Linked DNA regions of Schizosaccharomyces pombe. Changing the gene in region 1 together with any one later gene gives a genetic interaction. Each region holds a gene or a part of one and is shown in the gene's direction. Other genes may lie near its edges. The genes, in order: rad9, gdt1, cid1 and pcf2.

Region 1 (7,871 bases):
TAAAGAAAGCCAACCGCAACTTCTACACCTTTTTTTTACGATATTAGCATGAAGAAATCAACAAGGCTAATCAATAATTGAATAGCGTTAGCTTTAAATAAATTCAACGGAAGAAATCCTTGCTTCTCAAGAGAACGGCTCGAGTTTGCTGTGTGCGTGCAAGTTGAGAGAAATAAGCGGGAGGCAAATTGGTGGAGCAAACCACATATCTAATTTATACAACCGAAAACATGGTTTTGACTGTGAAGCCGGCAAAACTAACAAATGCATTTTACTGACTAAAATATCTTTCATATCTTTTGTTTTTAAAAACCGCATATTGGCAAAAAATTTCTAAATCGATAGGTAGATCCTTCGAAAATCCCAATTGATCGACTAGTAAGCGAGGCCGAATAATATGGCGATGAATGCACAATTCATTCAATGTTTATGAATGAGCACTTTGAAAATGGATATTCCATGAAAGATAGATAATAGAAAATCGGTATTAAATGTATTTGATTTTGTAGTCTTTCATCTATCTGTCTAATAATGGTTTGCAACATCGATGTTTATGATATTACAAATTGTTTTTAGGAACTTTTTTCTTATAGTTGATATAAAACTAATATAATAGGGTCGAAAGCGATTCATTTTAACTCATCGATTAATTCAAATTTTGATGTGTTAGTCTAATCCTGGATTTATTTACATGGGCAAAGATTTTTATCAAGGACAAATAGTATTTCAATGCCCAATTCATTTGGTTCCAGATTTTTTGAAAAACTTTTTTTTAAATGTTTTTATTTTCTTTCACATATACTCTGTTACCGATTCGATTTAAAATATTATTGAGCAAAAGCAGTATGCAAGGGTATTGGAATAATATTGACAAAAGCAAGGTATGAAACTTTAAAAAAAACAAATTAGATTTTATTTTATTTTTTTAAGTATAAGAGTTTACGTCTCGTTCTTTTACAGCAGCACCCCATTTTCGAATCGTATGTGTAACGAAATTTTTGAATTTAATTGTAAACATTACTTAAAATCAACACTGTTTTAAGATATTTTTTTGCTTTTTAAAAATAAGCAACAAGTTAAATAGAGACCGCTTTTATTGGAAACAGCAAGCATACACTTACCAAAACTCAACTCCTATTCTTATAACAGTTTTAGAGAGACATAATACTCGTTAGCATAATACACAGTCAAACAATAAAATAATAAATTGGTAATTGTTTAGTTACATTGTCTAGACAGAAAGAAGCAAGATGTGGGGAATTTCCGAGTTTTTACCTTGAGCTTTAACGAACAATTTTTAGCCCTTTAAAAATCGATACTTTAGTCGGTTGCATTCTCTACGTCGTTTTACTAATATAATCAACTCTCGTGCTGTGTTCGTTTTTTCAACTTTTGGTTGCTTCATAAAAACCATATTATTTATTTCAAACAAAGTAATATAACCTCGTCTGTACTAGCTGAATCCGATAAATGCCTTCAAACTTCATTCTTATATTTATTTCATACAATGATAATTTTGCTAACCCACACCCCTTCACTTACCCAGTCCCAGACACATCAAAATTTGCTCAAAATGGGTAAAGGTAAGTTCAATAAGATATTTTTAGGTTCTAATAAATCTTTAGTTTCTTTAAAAGATGAATTGGCAGGGATGCTAAACCCTCAACCGCAGGGTATGTTATTAACGAAAAATTCCGGGATTCTTACTCACATAAATAGAAAGAGACCCTGAAGCTTTAGAGGACGCATTCTCTGATAGAGAGGACTCTAGCGAAGAAGAAAACGATACCTTAGGGAGAGAACATTATGTTGATGTTAGGTATGTTCAAAATTTTTACTTTTGCGTATTTGAGCTTATACTAATGTTTCATATTTTATAGTGAAAGTAAATTACGCTCAAAACAGGCTCCTCAGTTAGACCCAAAATTTAAAGGAAGAAAAACGTCTCGCCAGGAATTACTTAATAGCGGTTCTTTAAACTCTCAATCTTCATCACCATCTGAAGAAGAAGATTCGGAGGAAGACGAAAATGATGCAGTTTCAGAAGATCACGAAAATTTTTCAAGCTCAGAAGCTTCATCAATTTCTGAGGAAAATGAAGATGACGACCAATCTTCTGCCATTCCTGAAAAAGACATGGATCGTTTAAAAAAGATTATAAATGGAGAGAAAAAGCTATCTGATCAAATTCGTACATCCGCCCTTGAAGACATGAAAAAGGGTTTAGCTTTGAAGGAGCAGATGCGTTTTTACGATAATGTTTTAGATACTAGAATCCGTCTTCAAAAAGGATGTAGTCAACTTCTTTCTTCCAGCAACCAACTTCAAGGTGATAAAGTAGAAGCCCGAGATGGTTTAGTATCTTTTATTCAACACACTTTACAGCTGAGGAAAAACTTACTTATTGACTCTGGAGTGGAAATTCTTGACAGTAGATCAAAAAGAAAAGAGAATCCTGTTAGTCTAGAAGAAATTGCTTTAGAAATGAATAACCTTGACGACTCTTTGAATGAGTGGAAAAATGATACTTTAACCAAATGGCATAATCGGGTTCAAGCAGTGCAAGGGATTTCGCAATCTAACAAATTCAAGGCTCTAAATCAAAGTATTGTTCAACAAATCGAAAATTCTATGATTAACAAGAAAGATTTGGTCGAGCGCACTAGAATTGATTACAGTGACCCTAACAACAAAACTTTCAATCCCGAAATTTACAACGACACGGATTTTTATCAATCATTATTGAAGGATTTCATTAATTCTAGAATGGCAGACTCTACTCGAGATGGCACTGTTCGTTGGATGGCTACAAAAAAGCAAAAACAGAAGAAAGAAAACGTTGATACTAAGGCATCCAAAGGTCGAAAAATAAGGTATCACGTTCATGATAAATTACAAAATTTTATGGCTCCCATTGAAGTGACTGTATGGCCGGATGAACAAACTGAAGATTTGTTTAGTAGTCTGTTGGGTCAACAATTAGATTTATCAGAGACAGCTAATGATACAAATACTTCAAACTTCGTGGAGAAGGATGATGAACTGATCTCTTCCAACGACGGATTTTCTCTCTTCGGTTGAAAATAAGCTTGTGCGTGTTGGATAAGCTTCACTATTTGTCTTTTTTTTAATATACGCAAGCTGTGCTAAACATTTAGGGTGCATGATTATTTTTACTTACAGTATATCTTTTTTCGGTTTTAAAAAGGGCATTCGCGGATTTTGGTTCTATTATAATATATTTCGTTTACAATTATTTAGGTTAATAAAAAAATTTAACATATATATGGTTACATAGATGGTCACAATGTCGGGCAATTACAAGTAATAAAGGGTTATCTTGGGCTGAAGGTTTTAGTTTTTGTGCACTTTAGTATTTTAAGCATAAAAGTATGTACGTTTATATGATGTACAGTTGAACTCTTTCTGCTGCAAATTAAAAGCAGCTATAAGTTTCTTCTTATTACAATTCATTGTGTATATACAGATTATTTTGCGATTGATGTTGGCCATTACACTTTCGTACAAATTTCGGCGCGCGTGTCTATACTAATATAAGTGCGTTAAAGCAGGTGCTAGAAAACACCACATTATAGATTTACCTCTGTATATACCAGTTTCAATTCTGTTTGTCAAAAATTGTCGAGATTTATTTACTTCTATTAGCATGAATTAAGAAATTAATCGTCATATCGACTAGAAACTATCGTTATTCGTTCAGCATTCGTCTACATCAATTCACGTACTGGTATATAAAATGGAATTCACTGTTTCAAATGTTAATCTTCGGGACCTCGCAAGGATCTTTACAAATCTTTCTAGAATCGATGATGCTGTCAACTGGGAAATTAACAAAAATCAGGTGTGTTGGAACTTTTTTCAAACCTTACTAAACATTGAAACTAATTGGTAAAGATAGAGATTACATGTTTAAATTCTTCTAGGTCAGGATTTAGCATGGTGACTTTAAAAAAGGCATTTTTTGACAAGTACATTTTTCAGCCGGATTCCGTCCTGTTGACGGGATTGATGACTCCTACAATACGTATTCGTACGCAAGTCAAGCCCATACTATCTGTGTTTAGAAACAAAATCTTTGATTTCATCCCGACTGTCGTCACTACCAATAGCAAGAACGGTTATGGCAGTGAATCTGCAAGCAGAAAAGATGTGATTGTCGAGAATGTTCAAATCTCAATCTCTACTGGTAGCGAGTGTAGGATTATATTTAAATTCTTATGCAAGCACGGTACGTAGTTTGTCCGTCTTATTATTTTATTTGCTCTACTAACGTTTATTCATCAAGGAGTGATTAAAACATATAAAATATCATATGAACAAACCCAAACTTTACACGCTGTTTTTGATAAATCTCTTAGTCACAATAATTTTCAAATAAACTCAAAAATTCTAAAAGATTTGACTGAACATTTTGGTCAGAGAACGGAAGAGCTTACAATTCAACCACTTCAAGAACGTGTTTTACTTACAAGTTTCACAGAAGAGGTCGTACATAATAGAGATATTTTGAAGCAACCTACCCAAACAACTGTTTCCATTGATGGTAAAGAATTTGAACGCGTCGCACTTAATGAGGGAGTCTCTGTTACCCTTTCTCTACGTGAATTTCGTGCTGCCGTCATTTTAGCAGAGGCATTGGGAAGCTCGATTTGTGCATATTACGGTGTCCCAGGAAAACCGATACTTTTAACTTTTGCAAAAGGGAAAAATTCCGAAATTGAAGCGCAGTTCATTCTTGCAACTGTAGTTGGATCAGATGAACAAGAGGTGTCATCTATGATGGGAAATAGATGGCAGCACAGTTCAACACCAGCTTCTCTGTTCAATTCAGTAGAGCGCAACAACTCATTGACTGCTGTAGCACATAATCCCCCTGGATCTATTGGATGGCAAACTGATGTATGTAATTCGGCTTTAGTACTAAGTACAATAATTTATTAACATTAACTTTATAGCAAAGTGACTCATCCAGAATGTTTAATTCTGCGCTTGACCGAAGCGACGAAACTAATGGCATTAAGGAGCCATCAACCACAAACGATGCTGGTCAATCATTGTTCTTAGATGGTATTCCTAATGAATCCGAGCTTGCTGCTTTTAATAATGATGTGAACGATGATGCCGAATTTGGACCAACGCAAGCTGAACAAAGTTATCATGGCATTTTCTCTCAGGAAGACTAGGAAAATCCTTCTTTGCTATGGTGTGTAAAATTATGAACATTTACAGGTGCTTGTGACAACCTCATAAAACACAGCACTCATATTATATAATGTACAATATTTATCAATAATTTAGTTTTTTTTAACTACAAAATTACCCTCATCATACGATACGTTACATAGTAGTTCTAATAAATCAATAAGATAGTGAATAATGTAACCCAATTAATTAAATTCCAATCCACGGCCTATAAAAAGTCTAATATACATTTTTGCATTTTCATCTGAATGCAAAATTTAAGTCATTACACGAACTCAAAGAAAGTTTTAAACTTGTTTCTTAATCAATTCGTTAATTTCTTCTCCACAATAGCCAGCCTTTCGACCCTCATTAAAATGTTTGACCTTTTTCTCCATCAAACTGTGTTTAACTGGAGTCAAAGTGAATGGCCATAAGAATTTAGTAACTTCCTTAAAATGAGAGCCTACATTGTAAATTTCATGAATGATATCTTCAATGGAAATAACATCATATTTGCCCAAGGCCTCCTCAATTAATGCATTATCAGAGAGAGCAATACGCTGACCATTGATCTTACCAAAGCCACGTTTATAAATGAGTTCACGAACAGAATGTAAATTGGGAATACCATACATAACATAAGGTTCGACGATTCGAAGCATTTGAGCAACGGCTTTATTATTTCGCACAAAAACGGCATTGTTAATTCGAGAAAGGCGTAATAAGCGCAGAACTTTGCGAATTTTAGGAGGCATATTCTTGACTCCGGCAATTCGAATAACGAAAAGAAGTTTTGTTTCATCAGGCACGAAAATGTCTCCTTTATTTTTCGCAGATCGATTTAACCTAATCCGTTCTCTTTCTCGTTGGCGGTAGTTATTAATAAAAGTCTCAGCCCTTTTGAAGGTTTCTTTACGATTTTTCTTCTGGGCCTGGAGTAAAATTAGTAAAATGTTTTTAACAATATATAAAAATTGATGAAGTCAAAGGTTTAAATTTAACCAATACAAAATATATGAATCAGCCGAAAGATGGTATTTTGGAGCAGCATCGTCGAAACTAGCAATCCAAGAGTGAAAGGTTCATCTTTTTCATATAAATATGTATATTATGGATATTTCAAACCTGTAGAACAAGCAATTCACATACCTCTTTTTTGGCAATAGCCTGCTCAACACGTTCTTTCCGAGTACGCTCATTGACCTTGCGCTTTTTTAAAAGCACCTCAGGTTCAAGCATAGTCTGTTGTACAACCGGTGCATCCTCCGCCATTTTATCGTCTGTTAGTAACGAGTAGAGGGCACGTTGGGACTATAGACAGACGAAAAATTATAGCTATGAAATGTGACTGCTTTAAGACACATAATGTTCTTCGTTACAATCCGCTAATAAGCGCAAAAAAATTTTGAAGCGATTTTCAAATAGGCTTTGAAATGTGTACTTAAAGGTAAAAAATGGTGTTTAAAAACTATGGCAAATTTAATTTGACAATATAACAAAAATTGCACAATAGTAGATTGCTCCTTCCATATCGAAGCATCTCTTTCTAATAACCAAGACCAAACTTTATCTAATTGACCTTGTACCATTGAAATTCATGTTTAAAAGATATACAAACGATTTTAATAGGAATATTATCAATGTTGAATGTAATCACCTGGTGCTCAAACTCCTCAGGGACGTGGGATATGGAGATGATAAATTTTGCACAACATTAATCGAAACAGTGCGAAAACACATGAGAAGTTGAATAATTGTATTATTAGCCCTTAACTTCTTAGGGTAGCCGTTTAAATGTCATTCATCCTAAACTGAAAAAAAAAATGTGACATTGATGAAATATAGTTTTCCACACGCAATTTATGTAAAATAATCATATACATTTATAAAAATCAGAAAGCAATTATTAAAAGGAAACAATTGATAAACACAAATTTACATATACTGTAAGAAAATGCATGAAAGCCCTTGCAATTCAAAATGAAATTACAAGGTTATTCTATCAATACGACTGTACGACTTACAAACTCAAGAGACTACAATATTTACCACGCTCTTAAACAGCCACCAATGTTATATGCAAATAGGAATTTTAGTGAAACTACTTAAAATTTTTTAAGTGAACTAGCTTCCACTTCTGCTACTGGATACAATACTGTTTGCGAATGTACATAAAAAGCTTAAGTTACCCAAATTCAAACAAAATATTTATACTCCAGTTCTGCCTGATCCATTAACTACAGACATTTTACTTCTTCTTAGCCTCGGCCTCTTCAGCACGCTTCTTTTGGAAAGCAGCGCGAGCACCGGCATAACGAGCATAAGCACGCTCGTTGCTAAGGGTAGAGAAAGCGTTGAAGTTCTTGGCTTCTTCAGTAATGGGCTTGGCCTCCTCAACAGCTTCTTGAGTGATGGGAAGAACAGCGGCAACATCAGTTTGCTCAGCACCAGAGACATCAGTAGCATCTCCCTTCTTGGGTTGACCAGCCTTACGGGGGAAAACAATCAAGTGAGCAAGGTAAACTTTGATGCGCTCAACGTTACGTTGTAAGGACTCCTCAGAGCGGTTGCGACGGCGGTGGTCAACGGGGATACCGATGGTAGAGGCAACACGACGAGAAACACCAGCAGCCTTGAGCTCCTCAAGAGTAAAACCACGACCAGCA
Region 2 (7,768 bases), 3.8 Mb from region 1:
TTATTTCTTAAAGTAATTCCTTTATAAATTTAGCCTTTTCAATTTCTTTATCTTAAATGAGAATTTAGTTTGAGTTGGAAATATCATATTGAAAAACTTATAATACCCTATTACTTGAACGTACATAACGAGAGAAAATACTGCACCGTTAAACCATAATTGCTGTGTCAATGAAAACGTAAATGATGAAAAAGTTTTGCAGTTTCCTTATTGCTTTGAAGTTAATAAAATACTAAGTTGAATCGTGATCCACTCAAAGTGCTATCGTAGAGGTCTGCAATCGTATGCACCTATTAAGGTAACATTCTTACTTTAAATCAGTATCTCGATAATTCTTTCTTTATTGCTCTTCCCCCTATGAACACTTCCTTTAAACAATCAAATTATCGACATTGGAGTTCGAACTGATTGATCTTTTACTTCTTATTGTTTCCTTAAGCTCCCCGACACTAAACGAGGCGCTAATCCATCAAATTTATTGAAAGCAAATATGAAAAAAAGGTCAAATTGTTAAAAAAAATTCTTTATTTTTAATTAACTAAATTTTGTATATCAGTTCAATTAATTACATACCTTAATTCAAATCCAAGTATCGAACAGAATAAAAATTTTTACTAATTACTTTATTCTATTTTTACTAAGCATTCATGTTCATCAATTGAAAAATTCAATCCTCCAATTTATTTATTTACACTAAGATTTTTTAATTCATATCTTTCGAATGTGTGATATGAATTGAATTTAGAATATTTAATGGATTGATCGAACTTTATTTTATAAGACTTGTTAACTTGTTTATACTTTATATTCATCACGTTAGTTTATTAGAAAAAAGTCTTTGATAAGTGAACATACAGGAATCTTAAGGAAGACAAATTAAAATTCAAATGATACTTCTTTCATATCATCCCAATTCTACGACACATTAATGGCAGAATAAATTTGCGGATCTGTATTTGACTAATGCCGCTTTATTCTGGATAAAAATGCACTTTGTAGCCTGGTTCAACGATTGTGTTTTACATTCCATATAAGCCGTATTAATTTGGCCTAAGTTACTACTGTCACAGTTTTCATTTTCATTAAACCATTAGATCAACATTCCTCTTTAAAATAATTCAGACTCTACCTCAATCAGTGATGGTTCAAATTATTTACAGTTACCGAACTCTGGTAGGGCGAGCGGACCTACTGATGAATTAGTATGTTTTCGCTAAGTATTATCGTACATCTGGCTCACTATTAACCTATAGTTGAGTAAATAGTACAAGTTTAAAATTCAATAGCTATCATAAATGTTATTATCCCAAAAATTCCAAATGTAGTGTATAATTAACGGGTTTGGTCACTATATAACATTGTGTAGTAATAGTGGAACTAATTTTACAGCAACTTCATCTATACAATCAATATAATCACGTTTAACATGCCAAATATGTCATATCGTATAATATGTTAAATGGAAGAATGAAGGTTATAAAAAATGAAAGTTTTAGCGATTTAAGAGTTATATGTATTGCTTATTTGATACAAAGATTAAGTTTAACATTTTATTTGTATTTATTTTTTACCTAAAAAAGGTTAGAAAAAAGGTCGCATACGCTGCTGAATGGAGAAATTCAGAATATGTCACATTATCTTGCCCAACAACTCTAATGCATATGCGGGTTTATTTAATTATATAAAATAATCCAAAAAACTTATAGCGCTTAAAGGGTTCAACAAATATAGTGTAATACACTCCTGAATAAATTTCTACATCTAAGTTTTGGTTCAGTTCGTTCATAACAATTTACATTAACAATACACACAACCGAAAAATTGTATTTAGTCAAAGAAACAAAATTTAATTATTATGACTTTATTCGAATGATAAGCAACAATATAACTTTTCACGCTATTATTATTATGGAATATACAAAGTCCCGATACCCGAACACTAAAACATCTAATAAAGAGCCATTAATCGTATAACCCAACACTTATTTTGTATTAAAAAAAGGGAAAAGGTATGAATAAGGTAAATACAATAAATTTTCAATGGTTGAGTAGTTTAATGATGGCAAGGGTATTTCTGTTGATATGTTGTTTATTTGACTTTGCAGATTATATAAGTTTCTTAGATAATTGACAGAACCTAGAAATTTTAGGTATTCTTTACAATTCTTAGGTTGTTTCCATTGTAGGACTTTGTCTATATTTTCTTGACAAAATGTAAATTCCTTTTCATAAATATGATACCCTACAAATTCATTTGTTAGTTTGTAAAATTTTGCGCTTTTGCTTGGTTGATAATCAAATGTGCATTTTTCAGTCTCTGTAAAACATCTTTAACATGCTCTACATGTGGTATGTTATATGGGCGATGTTCTAATTCATTAAAAATCAGAACCGATTTTGGTTAAGAAATCACTTTTTTTATCGAAAGAAAAGAAATGAAAAAATAATGAATAATAAATTCAAAATCCGTTGATCAATACATATTGAATATCACTATTTTTAATTGCTATTTTAGGATACCGATATAAAACAAACCCTATTCATTTTTTTAATATTTTCAATATTTATCAGTAACTTAACGAGTGAATATTTTATCAGTCCTTTTGTTAAATAAAAATCAGATTTCTGCAGTTCCAGAAATGCAGATTTTGGATCCGCCACCAACATGAATATCGTATAATCCGTTTGCAGACAACTTGATAGCTACTCGAATTAAAGCATTTCTGCCTAATATCTTTCCTTGATTAAATAATAAATGAGCGAAATCGGAAGAGATTATTGATGGATTATTGAGGGCGAAAAATACACCAACTGATCCAGCTCCACTCCCATTAGCAGGATCTTCATTTACCCCATGAACAGGACAAAAACTTCTAAGTTCGTATGTCCCGTCGTTATACATTCCAAAAATTTGGACGCCAGTCAACGAATTTTTTGAACAGCACTCAAAAATAGCTTGAAAATTAGGATTCAAGTTCAAAACATCAGCACCGTTAGGTAGTTGAATTATAGCATTCCTTGGACCAACATCTACACAAAAAGGAGTATTGCATTGTGAACATGAACCTTCACATAAATTCAAAAATTTTTCCAAATCTACTATTACTTCTGGTGAGATACTTGAAGTCTTATAACTCGGTAATTTGAAAAGATATCCAAGTTTGATTGACATCTTCGTTATGTAACGTCAATTCAACAAGGCCGGAATTACATTGCTGCACTACTTTATTTTTCTTGGCACTACAAGACTTATTGTCCAACAAAACAAAGCATGATCCGATAGTAGGATGACCAGCAAATGGAAGCTCACAACCCGGTGTGAATATACGAATTCTGTAATCTGTTCCTGGGATGGTAGGCTTCTGTATGAATGTTGTTTCGGATAGATTGGTCCACTTAGCGATTTGTTACATTTGCGTGCTGTTTAAACCGTCAGCGTCCAAAAAAACTGCCAGAGGATTACCAGCGTATCCTTTAGTAGAAAACACATCGACTTGCCTGAATGGATATAATGCCATTCGTGCAGATAAAGCTATGTTAAGTAAAGCTAAATAATTTTGTCAACAGCTTAACTGAGAAGGGTTTATATATTAAAAAAATTTGATTAGCAAGATACAATCTGAAACTCTTATCTAGCTATGTCTACTGATGTATAAAGATAAACTGGAAATAGTGAAACCTAATGTTCGACGTGCTACGATTATCACTATTTGGTTTCCTGTAAAATTTTTAATACAGTCACTACGTTGCGTATCATTATACGTCACATGTTCATAATGTTCTATTTGCTCTATCAACTTCACATAATAAGTTATTAATACGGTTGTAATATCATTTATGATAAAGTAACTAACTATCAGTTAAAATTGTTGCTATTTTAAATGTTATAAGCAATATCAGTTATTGGTAACATTATAACCTAGATAATACAATGCCTATACTCATCTGCTACTTCTACTACCTGTGTATCGCAATATAATAGATCACAAGGAAAACTTGCCGCATTTCTACGTATCCTTAAATCAGATACCAAACTGCCTAGCTGACAAAATAAAAATGGTCGGTAATTTTCCCATGCTTATATATTACTTTTTTTCCGGTGAAAAGCTAAGTTTTCCCACATCCGTGTTGGTAGAATCTAACGATTTTGTTTCTTTAAGCTTCGGATTGGATCATCCGTGACTCAACTTCTTCTATACATAAAGTGTGCGTTGTAATTTTCGATAATGTTTTAAACATCGAAATTTTTTGTTTGTATTTTAGAAGGCCTTAAGTTTGAGACATCATTATATTCGTTATCAGCATTGGCCATCAATTACCAACTTTCGTTGTGCCTAACCACCTGAATTGCAAATTTTAGATTTTTATTGAGTGAAGCTTCAAATAACTGTCGATTAGAGTTATTGCTTATTCATTGTTTTATCTTCCTTTACCCTCTAACGTAAATGAATCATGATTAATGTTGAAAGTCCCTTAAATTTGGAAACTACTTTAGGCAGTTTGCAGTTTAGTCATGGTTCCGTTCAAAACATTGGAATGTCAATATCAATGATCATAGGCTGTGAGCTTGGAGATAAATCTTTCATCGTTACTGCTCTGTTGGCATACCAATATGGACGGGCATCCGTTTTTTTTGGTTCATATTTGGCTCTTTTTTTTATGACTTCGTTTGCTGTGTTAGTTGGGCGTGCTGCCCCTTTTCTGTTCCCTAAATCGATAACACATATTCTTGGTGGAACACTATTCTTGATATTTGGGGTAAAAATGCTGAAAGAGAGTAAAGAGGTCAGAGAAAGTCAACAGTCTCTTGAAAATGAATTTGACAAAGTCGAAAAAATTATTGTAAACGAAGAAGATATGAAAAAAACATTAGAATTGGGATTACCAGCCAGCAATAGAAGCAGCTCTACGCTTAAAGACAAATTTTTCAAAGTCTTTAGTATGAGCTGTTTTAAAAATCTGTTTTCGAAAAAATTTTCCCGGGCTTTCATAAAAGCTTTCGCACTAATTTTTGTTAGTGAGTTGGGGGATCGTTCTCAAATTGCTACCATTGTTATGTCGGCAAAGGAGAAGGTGCTTGATGTTTTCATTGGGGTGAATATTGGTCATATGCTGTGTACAATGGTAGCGGTGATTGTCGGAAGATACATATCAAATAAAATCGAAATGTATAAGGTACTGTTCTTTGGAGGGATTGTATTCATGATTTTTGGGATACTGTACATTTTTCAAGGCTTTTGATGATGATGGTTACAATTTTTATTACTTTGATATTTTATAGCTAAGTGAAGAAATAATTTTCAACGGTTGCTACGTTTTATACCTTCCGATAATGCTTTCAGCGTTAACATACGACTCTTTAAAGTCCTTATTTAGATTTTCCAAAGGATTTAAATTCTTAAAAAAGCAATGCCATTTACTCGTTGTGAGAAAATTATTTTGATCGGAAATGACTTATTTTGCTAATTTATCTGTCAGTTGGCACCAAATTCTCTGTATTTTGATACTATTTTTTAATAACTTCAATGCAATAGTTTCGTACAATTAACTGTATACTGGTTACTTCAAGTACTATACTATATATGGAATTAGTAATTTAATAGCTACTTTTGTACAAATGTATATTTTAGAAATTATTTATACTATTATTTGCATTTTTGACATATTCTGTTTTTGATAAAACTTGTTTATATCAATATTCAATACTTATTTACAATTTTCTCATTAATTGTATTTTTCTCTTTATTTATTTATTTATTTTTTTGTCACTATACAATTACTCTAAAGACCATACTAACTCCATTGCAACGTTTTTCATAGATCGCTTCTTTAAAAATAATGAGAGCTACAAATTAGAAAAGTTGGTTGACAGTACTTACTTACTCTTTACTAAAAGGAAACTCTTGAGATGAGAGATAGACTCTAATGGAGTCCGAATGAACCTGACCCCACTTAAAACTCCATTAGGAGTCGACTAGTAGTACTTCGAAGCCCACTAAGCGAACTTCGGATGAAGTACAGCTACTCCTCTTTATAATGACATAATGACATAAAGGTCAATAAAAAATGGCGAACCGACTACACGATCCAAAAGGACTACCACCTATGGTTTCAATGATTATATTAGCCTATCCACGGCCCATTCAGATTCTGTGAAATACCGAGTACAAAGAGGTTGTGCTGTAAATTATATAACCAAGGTGATCGGTTACATTGTCCACATTAATACTTGAGACCGATAGGCACATATGCGAATGCGTATACTAAAGGATTATCTGTTGTGGAAGCAATCATAAAGAAAACTTCATACGTTTCAATAGTTTTTCCTTACTAAAGCGCAAGCATTTTGTTAAAAAATCGAAAAGAAAAAGTTGTAAGAAAATTTCCCCACCTTCTTCATAAATCAATTAAACTTCGTCCGGGTGTATCCAAATACGTATCGTGAAATTTCCATATAAGTTGAGGTCATTCCTCTTCATTCTATATTATATGAACACTTCTTCACGAATTCAATTGCCATCATCGAACGATGCGCACGTTTATGATGGCCGATCCAATGAACCAAAAGCTTCAAAAAGATCCTATGTTAATCTTACACGACAAATGAGACCTAAAGATGCCTTGAAAATGAATATCTCTTCTCCAAACCTTAAGGACCTAAGCAAATTTGCAGACCCAGATGCTCAACAATGGCTTGAAGGGTATTTGGCTGGAAAACTTGAGGATAATTCTAAAACTCCTCGTTCAAATTTTGTCGATCCTCTTTACGAAGAATTAAATGCGCGAAGAAAACCCAACAAGCCGGTGTGGAGTTTGAGTGGCCCTTTGCCGCATGTTCTTGGTAATTCTGTGGTTGAGAAACTAGAGGCTCGTTCTAGAGCTTCATCAGTATCAAATTCTAGACTAAACTCCAGAACTAACTCTTCAGTTTCTCTGAAAGGTATGGATGGATCATCCAGTTGGAAAAATAAAATAAAAAACGCAGTTTCTAATGTCACGGATCAGAGTAAACGATGAAAAACTAGCCAATGAAAATCATTCAGTCTTTATGGTAGAGCAAGTAGGCTTTAGTTCAAAGCAATTCTTATTTCTACAAATCATCAATCGCCCATAGTAAGGTGTAAGGTTATACTCAATTGAATTTACTCTTATGAAATTACAACGTAGATCGTTTTACGAATGTGGTTCCGTGATTCAAAAACAGCAGTCAGTTTTACATAGCAGTAGAAGAAGTTAAGACTGCCAGCTGATTATAAATAAAGAAGTTAATGAAGTCACTTTTAATTCGTGTAGCAAAAACAAATTTTTATTCCTTAACTACTGGTGCAAATTAGGCATTTGCTTCTTAAGGTTCTGCTGAGTTTTCGGGAACTCAAGTTTGGATGTCTTTGCTGTAGGGAAGTAAAAGCTACTTCTATGAAAGAAAATGTTGGAAGTTTTCAATCTCTTTCTTTTCCTTGGGGCTTTTGTTTGATGGTTAGCGTGCATAAATCTGGTAGCGATGTTAATCCAGCTACGACTATCTCATTAGCCATAATTCGCAAATTTCTTCGCGAATAGTGTCTATCTTGTCTACTTATAAATCTAGGGTGCATTCCAAAAAATGTACTCGCTTATGGTTACCACCAGAGTTTGATTACTGAATTTGGGGGATATTAGGATATCAGAGCACGGCTACAAGTAGTTGTTTGTAGTTCAATGGAAAACATTACGACTTAAGGAAACGCATTTTTTGTAAGTTTTTTGGAACAGCTGTTTTGGTATGATA
Region 3 (7,767 bases), 3.5 Mb from region 1:
TGGGGAAGCAGGCAGAAGAAGATAATTAAGACATATTATTGATGTGAACAAAACAAGGGGATTATTTGGATTCACCTGACGATTAGAAACACGCAGTACATGAGAGTACGTAAAGTACCACCGAGTCATTCACTTCCCTGCCCCCCTCTCCACTTTTCACAATAGCGCATGCCATAGCGACTCAATTTTCTAGTAACGTACGTATAGTCCACATTAAGACAATCTCCCGGCTTTGCAAAGTCTCTTTAATCCTGCATAGTGCTACACAGTACAACTAGTGTTAATTACGAGTTAGCCTTGGTTCGCTGCGGCCCTTTATTTTGCTGTGGCCCAAGAGAGGGCTTCTTCCATGCATTCGGCTTCACTAGATCCGGTCTTACTGTGCTCTAAGCGTCACTCGTCACATTATGCAATATTTCGTTAAATAGTACACCGTATTGCCATCTTACCTCTCGTTATATCTTAGAATAAACGGTCGCTTAGCAGAAAAGTATGGGGAAACCCCTTTAGGTAGCAGAGAATGACGTGACCGTGAAATTAGGTACATTAGTACCCGAACTTTGTTTTCGAGGAATTAAAGAAAAAAATCATCATCAACTTTATAAACTAAAAGAACTCATTTTTCAGCTTCAAAAAATTCCTTGGTTTAGCTCATTTCAATCTCCTTTTAGCCGTTGTTTTTGTTGCCTAAAATTTTTCCTCGTCTACGATCTTGACACGTCATGACTACATAATATTACATTGTATGTTACCTGGTCTCACTGCCCAGTGCCTGGTGCCAAAACCGAGGATCAGACGTAAATCGATCTACATCCTTCTTACATGTAAAATATATATATATATATATGAGGGCCTGGTGGTGAAATGTAGGAAAAACCAAGTTGTACCAATTTTAAGTGTACGAGATTTAGGGATCGCATGGAAGCCCTATTCTTCGTAGAAGAAAATTTTTGTTACGTGTTAAAGTTACTTCAACTTTACCCATCTTGTGTATATTACGTGAAGATTTCACCTATTTGACTCATTTACTAGTTGTTTATTTATTTATTCATATATATTCACTCATCTATCTTTTTTGCATTTTATATCCCAGCGCCACTTCGCGGACTTCTATTTATTTGACAAAAAGGAGCTTTTCTCTGTTCAACATCAATAGGCAATACAAAGGGAAAATCGAGTTGCAGTTTTTCCTTTTCATCACAAAAAAATTAACCACCATCATCCAAGAATACAAAACTTTTAATTTTGTTTATTTTCTGTTTATTAAAAATTTATTTATTTGCTTGTTTGATTTCGTCTCTTTCAATCAACAAGTTTCCTCATTCATCCTTGTTCACGTCGCCCAGGAGTTTCTTTGTCTTATATTTTTGACTCCTTGATTGAACTCGCAAAAAGTCAATAATTGTTATTTTTATACAGTTTCTTCTCTCTTACGTTTCCATTTTGTTTATATTCTTTTTTTCCGAAAGCACACTGTAAATAACTCAAAAAATTTCTCTTAACCCGCACACCTCTTCACACTCGCCTGCTATCTTTTTTTTCGTTTTAATTTGTGTGCCATTTTAAAAGTTTCCTGTATATATATTTTAGCTTGGCCAATCTTGTCTCTGTCCCTTTTACTTAGGATATAACATCTTCCAAGGTGTTTTCAAAAATTTTGTGCTACTATGCTCCATCTTCTGTCTAAAGACGAATTTAACTCTACTCTTAAGTCTTTTGAAGAACAAACCGAGAGCGTTTCTTGGATTATTGATTTGCGCCTGCACTCCAAATATGCTGTTAGCCATATAAAAAATGCCATCAACGTTTCTCTTCCAACTGCGTTGTTACGTCGTCCGTCTTTTGACATTGGAAAGGTTTTCGCCTGTATAAAATGCAACGTAAAAGTCTCGTTGGATGAAATTAATGCCATATTCCTATACGACTCTAGCATGGCTGGCATGAACCGTATTTATGATTTGGTACAGAAGTTTCGACGTGGTGGATATTCCAAAAAAATTTATTTATTAAGCAATGGATTTGAAGCCTTTGCTTCCTCTCATCCGGACGCCATTGTCTCTACCGAAATGGTCAAGGAGTCGGTCCCATACAAAATTGACATCAATGAGAATTGCAAGCTGGATATCCTTCATTTATCCGATCCATCTGCGGTTTCTACCCCTATTTCACCAGATTATAGCTTTCCATTGAGAGTTCCTATTAACATCCCACCACCTTTATGCACACCTTCGGTAGTCTCCGATACCTTTAGTGAGTTCGCGAGTCATGCGGAATACCCTGGATTTTCAGGTTTAACACCGTTTTCGATTCACTCTCCTACTGCTTCTTCTGTTCGTTCGTGCCAATCTATATATGGTTCACCCCTCTCTCCCCCAAATTCAGCTTTTCAAGCTGAAATGCCATATTTTCCAATCTCTCCCGCCATTTCTTGCGCATCTTCTTGTCCTAGTACGCCTGATGAACAGAAAAACTTTTTTATCGTAGGCAATGCCCCTCAGCAAACTCCTGCCAGGCCATCTCTACGATCGGTGCCTTCTTATCCCTCCTCGAATAATCAGAGACGGCCTTCTGCTTCTCGCGTTCGTAGCTTTAGCAACTATGTTAAATCCAGCAACGTCGTCAATCCAAGTTTGTCTCAAGCTTCCTTGGAAATTATTCCACGGAAGTCAATGAAACGTGATAGCAATGCACAGAATGATGGTACTAGTACGATGACAAGCAAACTTAAACCATCTGTTGGTTTATCAAACACACGAGATGCTCCAAAACCAGGCGGTCTAAGAAGAGCTAACAAACCGTGCTTTAATAAAGAGACCAAGGGAAGCATTTTCTCCAAGGAAAACAAAGGACCCTTTACTTGTAATCCCTGGGGTGCCAAAAAGGTTTCTCCTCCTCCTTGTGAGGTGCTTGCGGATTTAAATACTGCTTCTATTTTTTATAAGTTTAAAAGACTTGAGGAAATGGAAATGACTAGATCCCTAGCGTTTAATGACAGTAAATCTGATTGGTGCTGTTTAGCTTCCAGCCGCTCCACTTCCATTTCAAGAAAAAATCGTTACACAGATATCGTGCCCTACGATAAAACAAGAGTCCGTCTAGCCGTTCCAAAAGGATGTTCTGATTATATTAATGCTTCACATATAGACGTTGGAAATAAAAAATATATTGCCTGCCAGGCCCCTAAGCCGGGAACTCTTTTAGACTTTTGGGAAATGGTTTGGCATAACTCAGGAACAAATGGTGTTATCGTAATGCTCACAAATCTGTATGAGGCGGGAAGTGAGAAATGTTCTCAATATTGGCCAGATAACAAAGATCACGCATTATGCTTGGAAGGCGGATTACGCATATCTGTTCAAAAATATGAAACCTTTGAAGATTTGAAGGTCAACACTCATTTGTTTCGATTGGATAAACCTAATGGTCCTCCAAAGTATATACATCACTTTTGGGTGCACACGTGGTTTGACAAAACCCATCCAGATATTGAAAGCATCACGGGAATCATACGTTGTATTGATAAGGTTCCCAATGATGGACCAATGTTCGTTCACTGTTCAGCAGGCGTAGGACGCACTGGTACTTTTATTGCTGTAGACCAAATACTTCAGGTACCAAAAAACATTTTACCCAAGACGACCAATTTGGAAGATTCAAAAGATTTCATATTCAATTGTGTTAACTCGTTGAGATCACAACGGATGAAAATGGTTCAAAACTTTGAGCAATTCAAATTTCTCTACGACGTCGTGGATTATTTAAATAGCGGCGTTAACCAGGCTTCCAAGCCCTTGATGACTTAACGAAACGACTGTTCTTTAATTTTCTGTGTTTGTACACACTATGTTCTATTTATGTGAGATTGTGTAATTCCTCATTTTTTACATTATCTGACGCGAAGGTTATGTTAAAAATACTTAACCACACTCTCCGGTAATCATGTGTAATTCCTTCCTTATTGTTGTTAAAAATTGATTTTATCTCATGCGTGTAATGAATGTTTATATCTAGTTATTAATGAATCTTGTTTATGTTGGAATGGAATAATTGTTAAAGACTAAATTAGTTATGTGCACGTAGAAACTTCCTTCTTTTTTATTTTAACCTTTCCTATACGATATTTCATTACAAATGTTTGTATAGATTTTAAAGTACTATTAAGTATCGTACATCTGGCACATAGCAGTATTATTGAATGGAAATAGATGAATTAGAATATTTGTAAAGAGCACAGTAAGTAGTAGCAATAATCAAAAAATTATCGTAGCCGAGACGCAATTGTTTTAAGGCATATATATAATGACTCGTTTATTTCGCCGTATTTGCTGCCTGTTGATTTGCATTGTTACCAGACATAATTATCAGAAACAATATCGGGATGAGATATAAACCATATTTTTGGAAAAATGTCTTTTCCTCAGGTTCGGACTCTAATTCATCTTCGTCCACATTTGGAGATTCTTCGGTTTTAGAACCCTGTTTATTTCCTTGTTTTTCCTTCTGGGGTTTAGATGGACGTGATCCCTTTTTTCTGACAGCAGTAGTTAAAATTGGAATTGGAGAAGAAGGATGCAATTGCTCGACTACAGCACTTTCTGAGTCGGATGAAAAATCAAATGAGTGGACCACTTGAGTAAATTTTGCAATCTCATTGCTTTCTGATGAATCACAAAGTATGATATAGTGGTCTCTAGGTACTTTTGGAAGGGTTTTTATTTCATCAATTTTGTATTTGCTGGCGCCTGCAAGCCATGTGTTGGTAGAATCTTCGTATACTCCACATTGTACAAAATCAGAGTGAGAAAGATTACTCCAATCAATTTGTGAGTCCGAAGGACGAAATGTCATTTCTGGGATATCAATAGTACCATGTGGAAATATTTCTGTTTGCTCATTATGTGATACAGCGCAAGAAATAGGAATTTCTAATGCATGAGCAACAAAGGCTAAACTGATAAAAATCAAGCCTTGTCCTAGCATTTTTAGTAAATTTCGTAAAATCTATGAGATTAATAAAATATATTATCTTTTCCGGACGAAAATTACTTTTTGTATCTGAAAGTAGGAAGAGCGTAGTGTTTAGGTGTTAAGCTCGTCCATAATCATCAAGTGAAGCTATTTTGCTTAACTGTGACGAAGATAGCTCGCTGACATAAAAATAAACTAAATATTAGTAGTTATTGTTAGAAATATTCATGATTAAGGCTTTCAACGGATTATTTGCTAATTTTCCTTTTTCACATAAACCATTACTAGCCATACAACATTCGCTTCTTAAGTGAGAAAGAAAACATTTGGACCTTAGGATTTCTTCTTCCTAACTTTTTTCAATTACTTTACTGCTTTTTATAGCTCATTCCTCATCCATTAGCGCTGTCACCCCTACTGCTATTAAGTAACATATCAATTGGTAAAGGAGCTTTTGCCAAAAGCAAACACTGTAACTGACTTGCTTCAATTAGTAAAAGGAAGCATCAAAGACCATTAAACAGTGAATAATTACTCAAAGAGAAAGTGAATAAGTTTGCCACTTTCACCTTTTGAGCAGTAGACGAATATGAACATTTCTTCTGCACAATTTATTCCTGGTGTTCACACAGTTGAAGAGATTGAGGCAGAAATTCACAAAAATTTACATATTTCAAAAAGTTGTAGCTACCAAAAGGTCCCTAATTCGCACAAGGAATTTACGAAGTTTTGCTATGAAGTGTATAATGAGATTAAAATTAGTGACAAAGAGTTTAAAGAAAAGAGAGCGGCATTAGATACACTTCGGCTATGCCTTAAACGAATATCCCCTGGTATGTTTGAATATAAATTTAGGACTGTCTCAATTATGTAGTTAACGAGAGTGGAGACTTTACCAAATATTGATAATGTCCAATTCTAATGATATGTGACTTAGATGCTGAATTGGTAGCCTTTGGAAGTTTGGAATCTGGTTTAGCACTTAAAAATTCGGATATGGATTTGTGCGTGCTTATGGATTCGCGCGTCCAAAGTGATACAATTGCGCTCCAATTCTATGAAGAGCTTATAGCTGAAGGTAAGTATAATTATTCATTAAAAGTTATTCAGTTTAGACAAACTATCTCTGAATATTGTTTTTTTCCTTTCCAGTTGGCTCGCATAACTAACTATCGACAGGATTTGAAGGAAAATTTTTACAAAGGGCAAGAATTCCCATTATCAAATTAACATCTGATACGAAAAATGGATTTGGGGCTTCGTTTCAATGTGATATTGGATTTAACAATCGTCTAGCTATTCATAATACGCTTTTACTTTCTTCATATACAAAATTAGATGCTCGCCTAAAACCCATGGTCCTTCTTGTTAAGCATTGGGCCAAACGGAAGCAAATCAACTCTCCTTACTTTGGAACTCTTTCCAGTTATGGTTACGTCCTAATGGTTCTTTACTATCTGATTCACGTTATCAAGCCTCCCGTCTTTCCTAATTTACTGTTGTCACCTTTGAAACAAGAAAAGATAGTTGATGGATTTGACGTTGGTTTTGACGATAAACTGGAAGATATCCCTCCTTCCCAAAATTATAGCTCATTGGGAAGTTTACTTCATGGCTTTTTTAGATTTTATGCTTATAAGTTCGAGCCACGGGAAAAGGTAGTAACTTTTCGTAGACCAGACGGTTACCTCACAAAGCAAGAGAAAGGATGGACTTCAGCTACTGAACACACTGGATCGGCTGATCAAATTATAAAAGACAGGTATATTCTTGCGATTGAAGATCCTTTCGAGATTTCACATAATGTGGGTAGGACAGTTAGCAGTTCTGGATTGTATCGGATTCGAGGGGAATTTATGGCCGCTTCAAGGTTGCTCAATTCTCGCTCATATCCTATCCCTTATGATTCATTATTTGAGGAGGCCCCAATTCCGCCTCGTCGCCAGAAAAAAACGGATGAACAATCTAACAAAAAATTGTTGAATGAAACCGATGGTGACAATTCTGAGTGATTTTACAAAGAAGTCTTAAAAAGCGCATCAATATTCATTCCCCTAGATTCATAGTAATCATTCATTATTACTCTGCTTTTATTTGCTTACTTTTGAAAGCATGGAATGTTTTTATTTTTCTTTAAAAATTTTGACCTCTTGTTTCTAATACCTTTCCCCCTTTGTTTTATGTACAACCTCTTGTTAATAGTCTACTTGTTGGTGAGAAAATAGGCTCATCATAGTTAACATCAATGTCCAAAAAATTTTCATAGATCTATAATTAATAATTATTTATTGCAAATGCTAAGCTATTGTTTATATCAATTTCTTTAAATTGAACGGAAATAACCAAATATTTTTTCGTTTAGCCTCGGTAATGTGCGTAAACACATATAAAGAGTTTATCTTTTTTTCTTAATTACTATAGCGTACAGAAATTATTTTAGCTTATCAAATTTTTTCGTAAAATTCATATTGTTTCCAAATTTGTAGACGCATTGCAGCATGCTAACCATCACATTTGAACTTTTACCAAACATTCAGCTGGGTCTATTTCCCTTCTGTTCGTTGGTACAATTCATTAGAACATAATAAATTTGGCATTTTTCTCAAGGTGGGTATTTAACTATATTTCGAGATTTTGATGCTTTAAGCAAAAATGAGGATAACGAAAAGTCCTCCTAAAAATCAATATTCTCAGCCACCTCCTAGGGTTGCTGAGTTTATTAGACAAGCTCAAAATGAAGAAGTAACTTCAGACTTGGGTCTTGTCTCTCTTTGTTCAGAATTCAGAAAAAACGATTGG
Region 4 (8,304 bases), 2.4 Mb from region 1:
ATAGCGTCTGCCTGATGTTTGTATGTCTTTTCGATGTTTCTAGATGTATAAAGAGCATTTATAAGCTCTTGAGACAAAGGTCGAGACAACGCTCCATATTGTGCTTCAACAGCAGGATAAGTATGTAAAGCTTCTTGGACTATTTGCCCTTCGTAAGAAGATTCAGAAGCTATTTCATTTAAAAGTTCTTCAATTGAGCACGCTTTAGTATTTAAATTGCAGTTTTCTATTGAATCATTAGGAATACTCGGTGAATCAGGAGGAACCGGCTGGTTTTTCCGGGATTGAGTTAATAGCTGTTGCGTTGGGTCAAGTTCTGTCAATTGACATTTTTTTATATATTCTTTAATCCCTTGAAGGAACTTTTGGTTTCGTAACTCTATGGCTTTCTTCAAATTATTAAAATCCAGCTTTTGCCTCTGGATATTAGCCTTCATTGTTGGGCCTTCACGTCTCCTTCGTTTGGAACTTCTCTCTTGCGTTTCTAAAAGCTCAATAACCAAAACATATTCAGAACTCTGTGAGACCGTTGAACCAGTGTACAACTCAGGGTTTAGATCAGTGTAAACATTTTTATTGATTTCTAATGCAAGGCTAGCAAGTGATTTATAATTTAATTCAATTATTTGAGGACATATTTCTCTTAGCTGAGATAAATCGCCGATTGTCAACTCCTTTTTCAAACTTTGCTTAACACTCGAATTGAGAAGGGGAAAAGTGATTGTAAGAGAATTTCTCAAATAAAGAAAAGTGTATGTAGTATTAATTACCTTGAATAAATTAAAAAGATTGTCAAATATGGATGGAATAGGCTGATTAGCTTGAATAGTTCCAAGTTGTGGTTTTTTTTTGGGATTATCTGCTTTCAGAGGGAGCTTCCCTTCATTAATATATTTTTTAAATTCAAATTTATCATCCTGATCATTAGATTCTTCCTTTTTAATAGGAGTTTGAGACATTACCCCTTCACCATTAAAGTATGGGCTAAGTGCAAAGGTATTGAAATACAATGATTTCCATTATAACGTGGTAAATGAACAATTAGTGAAGGATCACTTATATAATTATTTAGTATCAGTTTTTAAATTTTTAATTTCTTCATCCTCTTTTAACTCTATAGGTAGCTTATAAAACTTTGTTCCCTTGATAGAATCGGGTAAATACTGAGTAGGTTAACAAATTGAAAAGAATATTTTTTATTACCTCTTGCATTACTAATCCGTCTTTATAATCCGGATTGTATTTATATCCTTTATGGTATCCTAATTGCTTCATCAAATTTGTAGGAGCATTTCGAATATGCATGGGAATTTCAGCCCTGCCAGCATCGGGATGAGAAGACAAAAAACTTTTTACAGCATTATATGATCTGTAAACGTCAACTGATTTTGGAGCTAATGCTAAGGCGACGGCGCAATGAGCTAGAATTACATCGGCTTCAGGCATGCCAACTTGTTGAACAGCAGTAAATGTACTGGATGCTAGAGGTAGCATAGAATTATCTGCTATTCCAATGTCTTCGCTTGCTATTCTAACCATTCTTCGTGCCACATACAGTGGATCTTCTCCAGACTCGAGCATTCTACCCAGATAGTATAAAGTTGCATCGACATCAGAACCCCTTACTGATTTATGGAAGGCAGAAATTGTATCATAATGAACATCACCTACTCTGTCGTAAAGTGCAGAAGATCTGACTAGCTTGTCCTTAATATCTTCGAGTGACAGGGGTCCTTGTCTTAGCATTCCAATAGACATTTCTAAAGCATTTAAGGCCATTCTAGCATCTCCGTCTGTAATAGCAGATATGTAATCAATAATAGATGTTTCAACGTTGGGCATAGAAGATCCTAGTCGCTCACTTTCCAGTAAGCAAGCATGGTTTAATATTTTCTTAACATTATCACGCGTTAGTTTCTTAAGCACAAAAACGGGGCATCTGCTAATGAGAGCAGAATTTAGTCGGAAAGAAGGATTTCTACAATGTTAATCATGGTGGAAAACATTAGTGTTTAAACATACTCAGTTGTTGCGCCGATCCTAATTCAAAGGTTAGCATTTGTGATATTAGAATGCATCACTTACAGAGTAACTAGACCCTTTTCAACCATTGGCACTAGTCATGGTTAATTGAAGAGATAAAAAAATATCAAACTTACAAAATATATCCTGTTGCGCACGGTTGAAACGATGTACTTCGTCCAAGAAAATAATAGTCTTTCTTCCTGTCAAGGTGAGATAATTTTGTGAGTCTTCAAAGATTTTACGACAATCAGCAACAGTCGTCGAAGTCGCAGAAATTTCTATGAACCTTGATTTTGTTGTAACGGCAATTAGTCTAGCAAGCGTAGTCTTTCCAGTTCCAGCACTACCCCATAAAATCATGGAATTGCACCTATCTTGTTCAATCAGATTACGAATGATGCCTCGCTCACCAACCAGCTCTTCCTGACCAACATATTCATCTAGTGATTTGGGTCTTGCTCGTTCCGCCAGTGGTCGTGTATCCCGTCTTGTAAGTTTAGTTTTCTTTGTAGGGCTGGGTTCAGGCTCTATAAATTTTGTAGCGCTCTGGTGAGATGAGACATTTGTTTCTAAATGATGTTTATAGCGTTCCTTTTTAAAAAAGGGTGAAACAGGTTTCGAAGGGCCTGATGAGTCCGAATAATGTGAATCAAGGTGTGGATTAATGTCATTCATCGTAACTGTTTTCGCGCAAACAGGACATTGAACATGATCTGGTCCTGACATTCTGATTTACATAGATAAAAGTATGTGGTACGAAAGGTAAACAGATAAATCTGGAATGAAACAATAACACATACAAATGAGCGACCTTTGGCAAGAAAGTTTACAAAAAAAAGTAACGTTTAAGGAATTTTGATCATCAAAATTGCTTGTTGTTTATGACACTCTCAACAGCAATATAACAGAGCTGAACGGCATCGATTGTACAAAACCGTGAACCAAGTCGTCGCGTGTAGTTAGGGAATTATACGATGAAGTAAGAGGTTATAATAATATCAAAGTATTTGTTTAAGCTAAAAATATTACTTACAAGAAAAAGTTAGATTTTAAATTCATATGTGTTATTATAGTTGACAGTTTTTATACGCAATTTCACCGCCTAAATGATAAGATATTAAAAAAAAAACAATAGAAATGATGAGTCTATGGAAGATAATAAAATGTCTAAAAACCAAAATGATGTTGATCCAAGACTTGTAAACTACGCGTTTTAAACCCTCAAATTTTGTACTCTATTATATGAAATACTCTGTTTTTAAACCAAGGGGAAAGGATGCAATTTCAACTGTGAAAGTCCATAATATTTATAAGAAATCGAACCTTATAAACTTACCTAACACTAAACATAGTAATCGCACGGCTAATAAGAAGACTATTGTGCAAACTAAAGGGCTTTAAATAGATAAAAAAAAATAGAGTATAACGGGCACTCAGCATATAATTCAAAATTTTTCCTCCAACTACTAATGCTGCTTGAACATTGAACCCAAAGCAAATTGACAAATAATAGAAATAACAACAATATTAGAGAGTTCATAAAAAATTCTCTTTGAACTCTAAATAATATACACGTTAGTTCCGTACTCACGAAATTACTATTAGAAAAATTGTGCGAAGCGATCCTAGAGCACTAACGACGAAGAGGAACATGAGAGCGGAGGTTTTGCAGATACGATGGCATTATGATGCTAATGATGATCACACACCTATTTATTCAGTTGATTTTCAAAAGAACAGTCTTAATAAATTTGCTACATGTGGAGGAGACAGTAAAATCAGGGTAATGATTTGACATAAAACTATTTTTGCTTCAACTATTGTTTGTTGTAGTTTAAAAAAAAGAAAGAAAATTCCTTCAATTATACTAATATCCAGATATGGCAATTGATCACTTCGGAATCATCCACAAAAGTCGAATATTTGTCTACGTTAAGTCGACACACGCAAGCAGTGAACGTCGTTCGTTTCAATCCAGAAGGTATTCGCTAATAATTTTTTCCAATGCTCACATTAAAATAGGAAATATTCTTGCTACCGCCGGAGATGAAGGAACTATTATGTTATGGGTTCCAACTAACACTCCTATAACAACTTTGGCTGATGATGCGGAAGAGTTGGCTCTAGCTAAAGAATATTGGAAGGTCAAAATAGTTTGTAGGTCGATGGGTTCAGAAATATATGATTTATGCTGGTCGGTTGACAGTAATTTTCTTATTGCCGGCGCCATGGATAATAGTCTTCGGTTGTACGATGCTCACACAGGTATGAATTGGCAGTTGTTGTTATTGGCAATATTTTTTTTTAAATTAAAATTACTGACTAAGAAGGGCAACTGCTTACTCAAAAATTCGACCATTCACATTACGTTCAAGGGGTATGTTGGGATCCTTTGAATCAATACATCGTTTCGGAAAGTAGTGATCGTTCTATATGTTTATACGAAATTCAAGAGGAAAAAAAGAATCCGAAAAAATTCCAACTCGTTTTAAAATCGCGCATCTGTCGTATTGAGTATAATGTAACTAAATTCGAATTAATATCTGTTACGAAGCCCTTAAATAATGATGAATCATCGGGGATATCAGAACCTATCGAAACTTCTAATAATAATGAGTCTCCCGTATCTAAGCACGAAGCTCTCTCATCAACTGCAAACATAGTCAAAGATGGAAGCTTAGAGCGAACAGAGCCTCCAAATTCTCTCAATTCAAAAATCAGTTACTCTTTGTACTGCAATGAAACTCTTGTTTCTTTTTTTCGTCGTCCAGCATTCTCCCCTGACGGATTACTACTAGTTACGCCTGCTGGTCGGCTTCGACCGCACGGTCAACCAAACTTTGAAGTTCCCTATACTGCTTATATTTATACAAGAGGGAGTATAACCAAACAGCCAGTAGCTTGTCTTAATGGATTCAAAAAACCAGTTATTGCGGTTCGTTTTTCTCCAATTCATTATGAATTGAACTCATTCTCTAACTTCTCTTTTACTTCTGTCTCTTTTAATCTTCCTTATCGAATGGTATTTGCTGTGGCATGTCAAGATGCTGTTTATATTTATGATACGCAAACTTGCAAACCATTTTATCGTGCAGTAAATTTACATTACTCTAACCTTACAGACATAGCTTGGAATGATGATGGAAATGTTTTGTTAATGACTTCTATAGATGGTTTTTGTTCTGTAATTACCTTTGAACCTGGAGAATTGGGTGTCAAAAGTCAACACAAAATTTCTTTGCCGGAGAAACGATCAGCTTCACCCTCTAGTATTGATGATTCACAAGACAATACGGCTGGGGGACCAGCTACTACAACACTAATTCCCAGAAAAGTTGAATCTTCAAAAGTATCAAAGAAGCGTATTGCACCTACCCCCGTTTATCCATAATTTCATGTTTATGAAAAAAGTTCTACTTCGACAATACGCTTTGATTTTTGGAGTAAAAATCTCGTACTTCTTGTTTTGTACTAGTAACTTTAAAGAACCTTTTATTTTTTTAAAAAAAAAAAAGAAGGCAAAACTGTACATTCTACTTTGGATGTAATCATTCGGTAATTTGCTTAGATATAAGCACAATTAAATTCATTACAATTGTTAAGATAAATATATAAAAAGCAAATAATACTTCTAATCGTTTGTACTTTTTGTCTACTTAAGACTATAAAACTAATATGTAACTTTTCTGTAAGTATAAAATACGTATTGAGGAACCCTCTTACACATAACATCACCACCATTCTATAGGAATTGCATCTTATACATTACTCATTGCATAGATTAAATTGCTAATAATCTACTTTTATTAAAAAAAGATTTAATCAGCTCATTTTCACGCTAGTTTTCCAAATTTACTGAAGTCTCATATTTTTTGCAAATATCTTCAAGTTTTGTTCATGAATGGTCGCCATTAACGACTCTACGGATTCTTCGTTTTTTAAAGAAAATCCTAAAATATTTAAGGATGAGCATGAGTTGTTGAGGTATATCGTTCCTTTCAAAAATTGGGTAATTGGAAGACCCGACAGAAAAGAATATGCAATTCGCAATGGAGCTCCAAAGCTGTTGCTTAATTTATTTTCCTTAGAAAATTTATCCATGAATGAAAAATATCAAGTTTTTGTTGTTTTAAACTCCTTGATGAGTGAGGACCAGGACCCTTTCGTTCAATTTTTACGACACGAGGATCTTCTTTCCGTTATGCAAATGATTTCGAAAAGGGATAGTACACCATATGGAATGCTGAATATCACCCTTAAAGTTTTTAACACAATGCTGAGTTTTGACAAAGCAGCAGAATATGTCACTCAGTTACATTCGGACTCTATAATTAATCAAATGTTTGACTTGTATACTTTACCCTTGAAAGAACAACCTTCTCTTGATGTGTTGCGTATCTCAAATTTATCTTCTAAGATTTTGCATCGTCTTATCCTTTATAACTCTAAAGTTGGAGACTCTCCACGATTCTGTTCTGCTTTATTTCAAATCACTAACAGAGCTACCCAATTGCGCTTGTATTCCAGAAGAAGATTTTGGAATGATTGCTCTATCTTAATTACTAACTCCCTGGGTACTTTGAATGCTTATTTAAAACAGCATGTGAAGTCTTATAAACAAAGAGAGAAAACCCGGCTAGAATCAAATGGTCACGTTTCGCCTCGCGATATGGATTTAGATGAAATTGAAAATGTTTTTGAGGGAAACAAGGATAAGGTCGCCTTATTTAAATCAGAGATATTTGGGCCTAATGGTGATGAATATATTACTCAGTTATTCTGTCTCGTTAGACAGTTTGATCCTTGTATTCGCTTGCTCTCAATTTCTTGTTTAGTGACCCTATACAAGGCAGGCATCCTTTCTAAAAATCAAACTAAGGAGATTCAAATGATAGTAACTCCCATTCTCATCCGTTTATTTTTTGAATCTCGAGAAGCAAAACAAATCGCTCCTCGTATTCTCGCCATCATAATCAATGAAAACGAAATTATGCAAAAGACGGCTGTAAATGCAGGTTTTATTGATGCTGCCAAATATCTTCTAGAATACGCAACTAAAGAAGAAGAGAATGAAATTAATTTTTTATCCGATGAATTGCAATCCAGCGTTTGTTTTAATCTTCCTGCTACCAAAAAGGAGCAAAAAAACCTAATCTTAGAATCAGTTTTGCTAGCCGTTGCTGCATTAACAACTTCTAAAGATGAATACAGAAAACTAATAGTTGATGCTAAATATTTGCCTGTTATCATTAATGCTTTGAAAATCAATTCTAACAGCGTGAAAAAGGCTGCTTGTGAATGCTTATTAAGTCTCTCGAGAAGCGTTTACATTTTACGTACGGGCCTTGCCGATGCAGACGTGAGCGAACCATTAATAAAGTTGCTTTCTGACCCGGATACTAGAGTCAAATCGACTGCTACGTCTGCCATTTGTAACTTGGTACTTAAGTTTTCTCCTTTGAGAGAGAAATTCCTTACTACAAATTTCATTGATACTTTGATATCAAATATTAGTACGAAAGATAGCAGTCTAAGAAAGAAGACCGTGTGGGTTCTGCGGCATGTTGTATTTGGTGATGATGAGACGATCCAGCTTGAACCTTTAAAAAAGATCGGTGCTTCAAAGCTTGTGGAACTTTGCAATGACGAAGATCTGGGGGTCCAAGAGCAAATGTTGCAAGTGCTGCGAAATTTTACATGTCAGAAAGAAGAAAGCGTGGATTTTCTTTTGAAAATGGTTCCTATGGAGTTGTTAGCAAAAATTTTGCTTGAAAAATTAGAAAGTAAAAATCCTATCCTAATTGAACCCAGTATTTACATTTTGGTGCACATCGCTGCCAGCGATGGTGAGCTTAGGGATTCTATCCTAAGGCAAACCAAACTACTACTATTGGTGAAGGAAATTATGCTACAAGAAGCACAACGTCTCAAGCCCGAGCAAATGTCCACAAATGTGTCATCTCCGGAAAGTGACAGTGAAATGGATTTGCAAGAAGATGATTTTGATAGGGAAATGCGTCCTCCTTTCGATATTTATGAAGAGGACACTTATGAACCAAACTCCGAAATTCTGTTGGCCGGAATTTGGCTCTGTATTAACATTCTATGGCCCAAACAATGTACATCTCCAAGCCAGGAAGATAAGGAAAGAGCAAGTATCTTACAAAATCTCGGATTTGGAGAATGTTTGCAGATGCTACAAAATCACTCATCTCCTGATGTAAGGGAACGTGTCAAAGATGCCTTGATGTACATCAATGTAACCGATTAATTTCTATT

What was found.
Region 2: mutations in rad9 (region 1) and gdt1 together harm fitness less than expected from each alone (positive genetic interaction), as found in Schizosaccharomyces pombe (one large-scale study listed by BioGRID).
Region 3: of rad9 (region 1) and cid1, extra expression of one rescues a mutant of the other (dosage rescue), as found in Schizosaccharomyces pombe (one study listed by BioGRID).
Region 4: mutations in rad9 (region 1) and pcf2 together harm fitness more than expected from each alone (negative genetic interaction), as found in Schizosaccharomyces pombe (one large-scale study listed by BioGRID).

Annotation. Positions count from the first base shown.
Region 1 is NC_003424.3:1,711,423-1,719,293, reverse strand, and holds rad9 (checkpoint clamp complex protein Rad9), read left to right. Parts: upstream 1-3,577; 5' UTR 3,578-3,757; coding exon 3,758-3,862; exon of another isoform or gene 3,863-3,915; coding exon 3,916-4,249; exon of another isoform or gene 4,250-4,306; coding exon 4,307-4,920; exon of another isoform or gene 4,921-4,976; coding exon 4,977-5,204; 3' UTR 5,205-5,374; downstream 5,375-7,871. Other genes in the region: bfr2 (traub family ribosome biogenesis protein), read left to right, coding at 1,574-1,583, 1,626-1,673, 1,720-1,819, 1,881-3,081; ribosome biogenesis protein rlp7, read right to left, coding at 5,511-6,137, 6,355-6,477; rpl13 (60S ribosomal protein eL13), read right to left, coding at 7,454-7,871. UniProt on the Schizosaccharomyces pombe protein: Acts in DNA repair and mutagenesis. Involved in promoting resistance to ionizing radiation and UV light, as well as regulating cell cycle progression after irradiation. Repressor of entry into mitosis that is activated by chromosome breaks.
Region 2 is NC_003424.3:5,537,823-5,545,590, reverse strand, and holds gdt1 (GDT1-like protein), read left to right. Parts: upstream 1-4,109; 5' UTR 4,110-4,452; coding exon 4,453-5,241; 3' UTR 5,242-5,559; downstream 5,560-7,768. Other genes in the region: SPOM_SPAC186.06 (isomerase), read right to left, coding at 2,618-3,172; SPOM_SPAC186.04C (uncharacterized protein), read left to right, coding at 6,490-7,017.
Region 3 is NC_003424.3:5,201,156-5,208,922, forward strand, and holds cid1 (terminal uridylyltransferase Cid1), read left to right. Parts: upstream 1-5,424; 5' UTR 5,425-5,557; coding exon 5,558-5,801; intron 5,802-5,905; coding exon 5,906-6,046; intron 6,047-6,147; coding exon 6,148-6,980; 3' UTR 6,981-7,267; downstream 7,268-7,767. Other genes in the region: protein tyrosine phosphatase Pyp2, read left to right, coding at 1,668-3,803; protein Emc10, read right to left, coding at 4,309-4,980; ptr1 (E3 ubiquitin-protein ligase), read left to right, coding at 7,621-7,767. UniProt on the Schizosaccharomyces pombe protein: Cytoplasmic uridylyltransferase that mediates the terminal uridylation of mRNAs with short poly(A) tails such as such as act1, hcn1 and urg1 mRNAs, hence facilitating global mRNA decay. Uridylates the 3' ends of actin mRNAs upon S-phase arrest.
Region 4 is NC_003424.3:4,116,223-4,124,526, forward strand, and holds pcf2 (CAF assembly factor complex subunit B Pcf2), read left to right. Parts: upstream 1-3,651; 5' UTR 3,652-3,676; coding exon 3,677-3,808; exon of another isoform or gene 3,809-3,903; coding exon 3,904-4,006; exon of another isoform or gene 4,007-4,047; coding exon 4,048-4,290; exon of another isoform or gene 4,291-4,355; coding exon 4,356-5,416; 3' UTR 5,417-5,652; downstream 5,653-8,304. Other genes in the region: RecQ type DNA helicase Hrq1, read right to left, coding at 1-959; mgs1 (DNA replication ATPase), read right to left, coding at 1,065-1,163, 1,204-1,978, 2,023-2,040, 2,086-2,116, 2,160-2,751; protein Gid5, read left to right, coding at 5,927-8,296. UniProt on the Schizosaccharomyces pombe protein: Acts as a component of the histone chaperone complex chromatin assembly factor 1 (CAF-1), which assembles histone octamers onto DNA during replication and repair.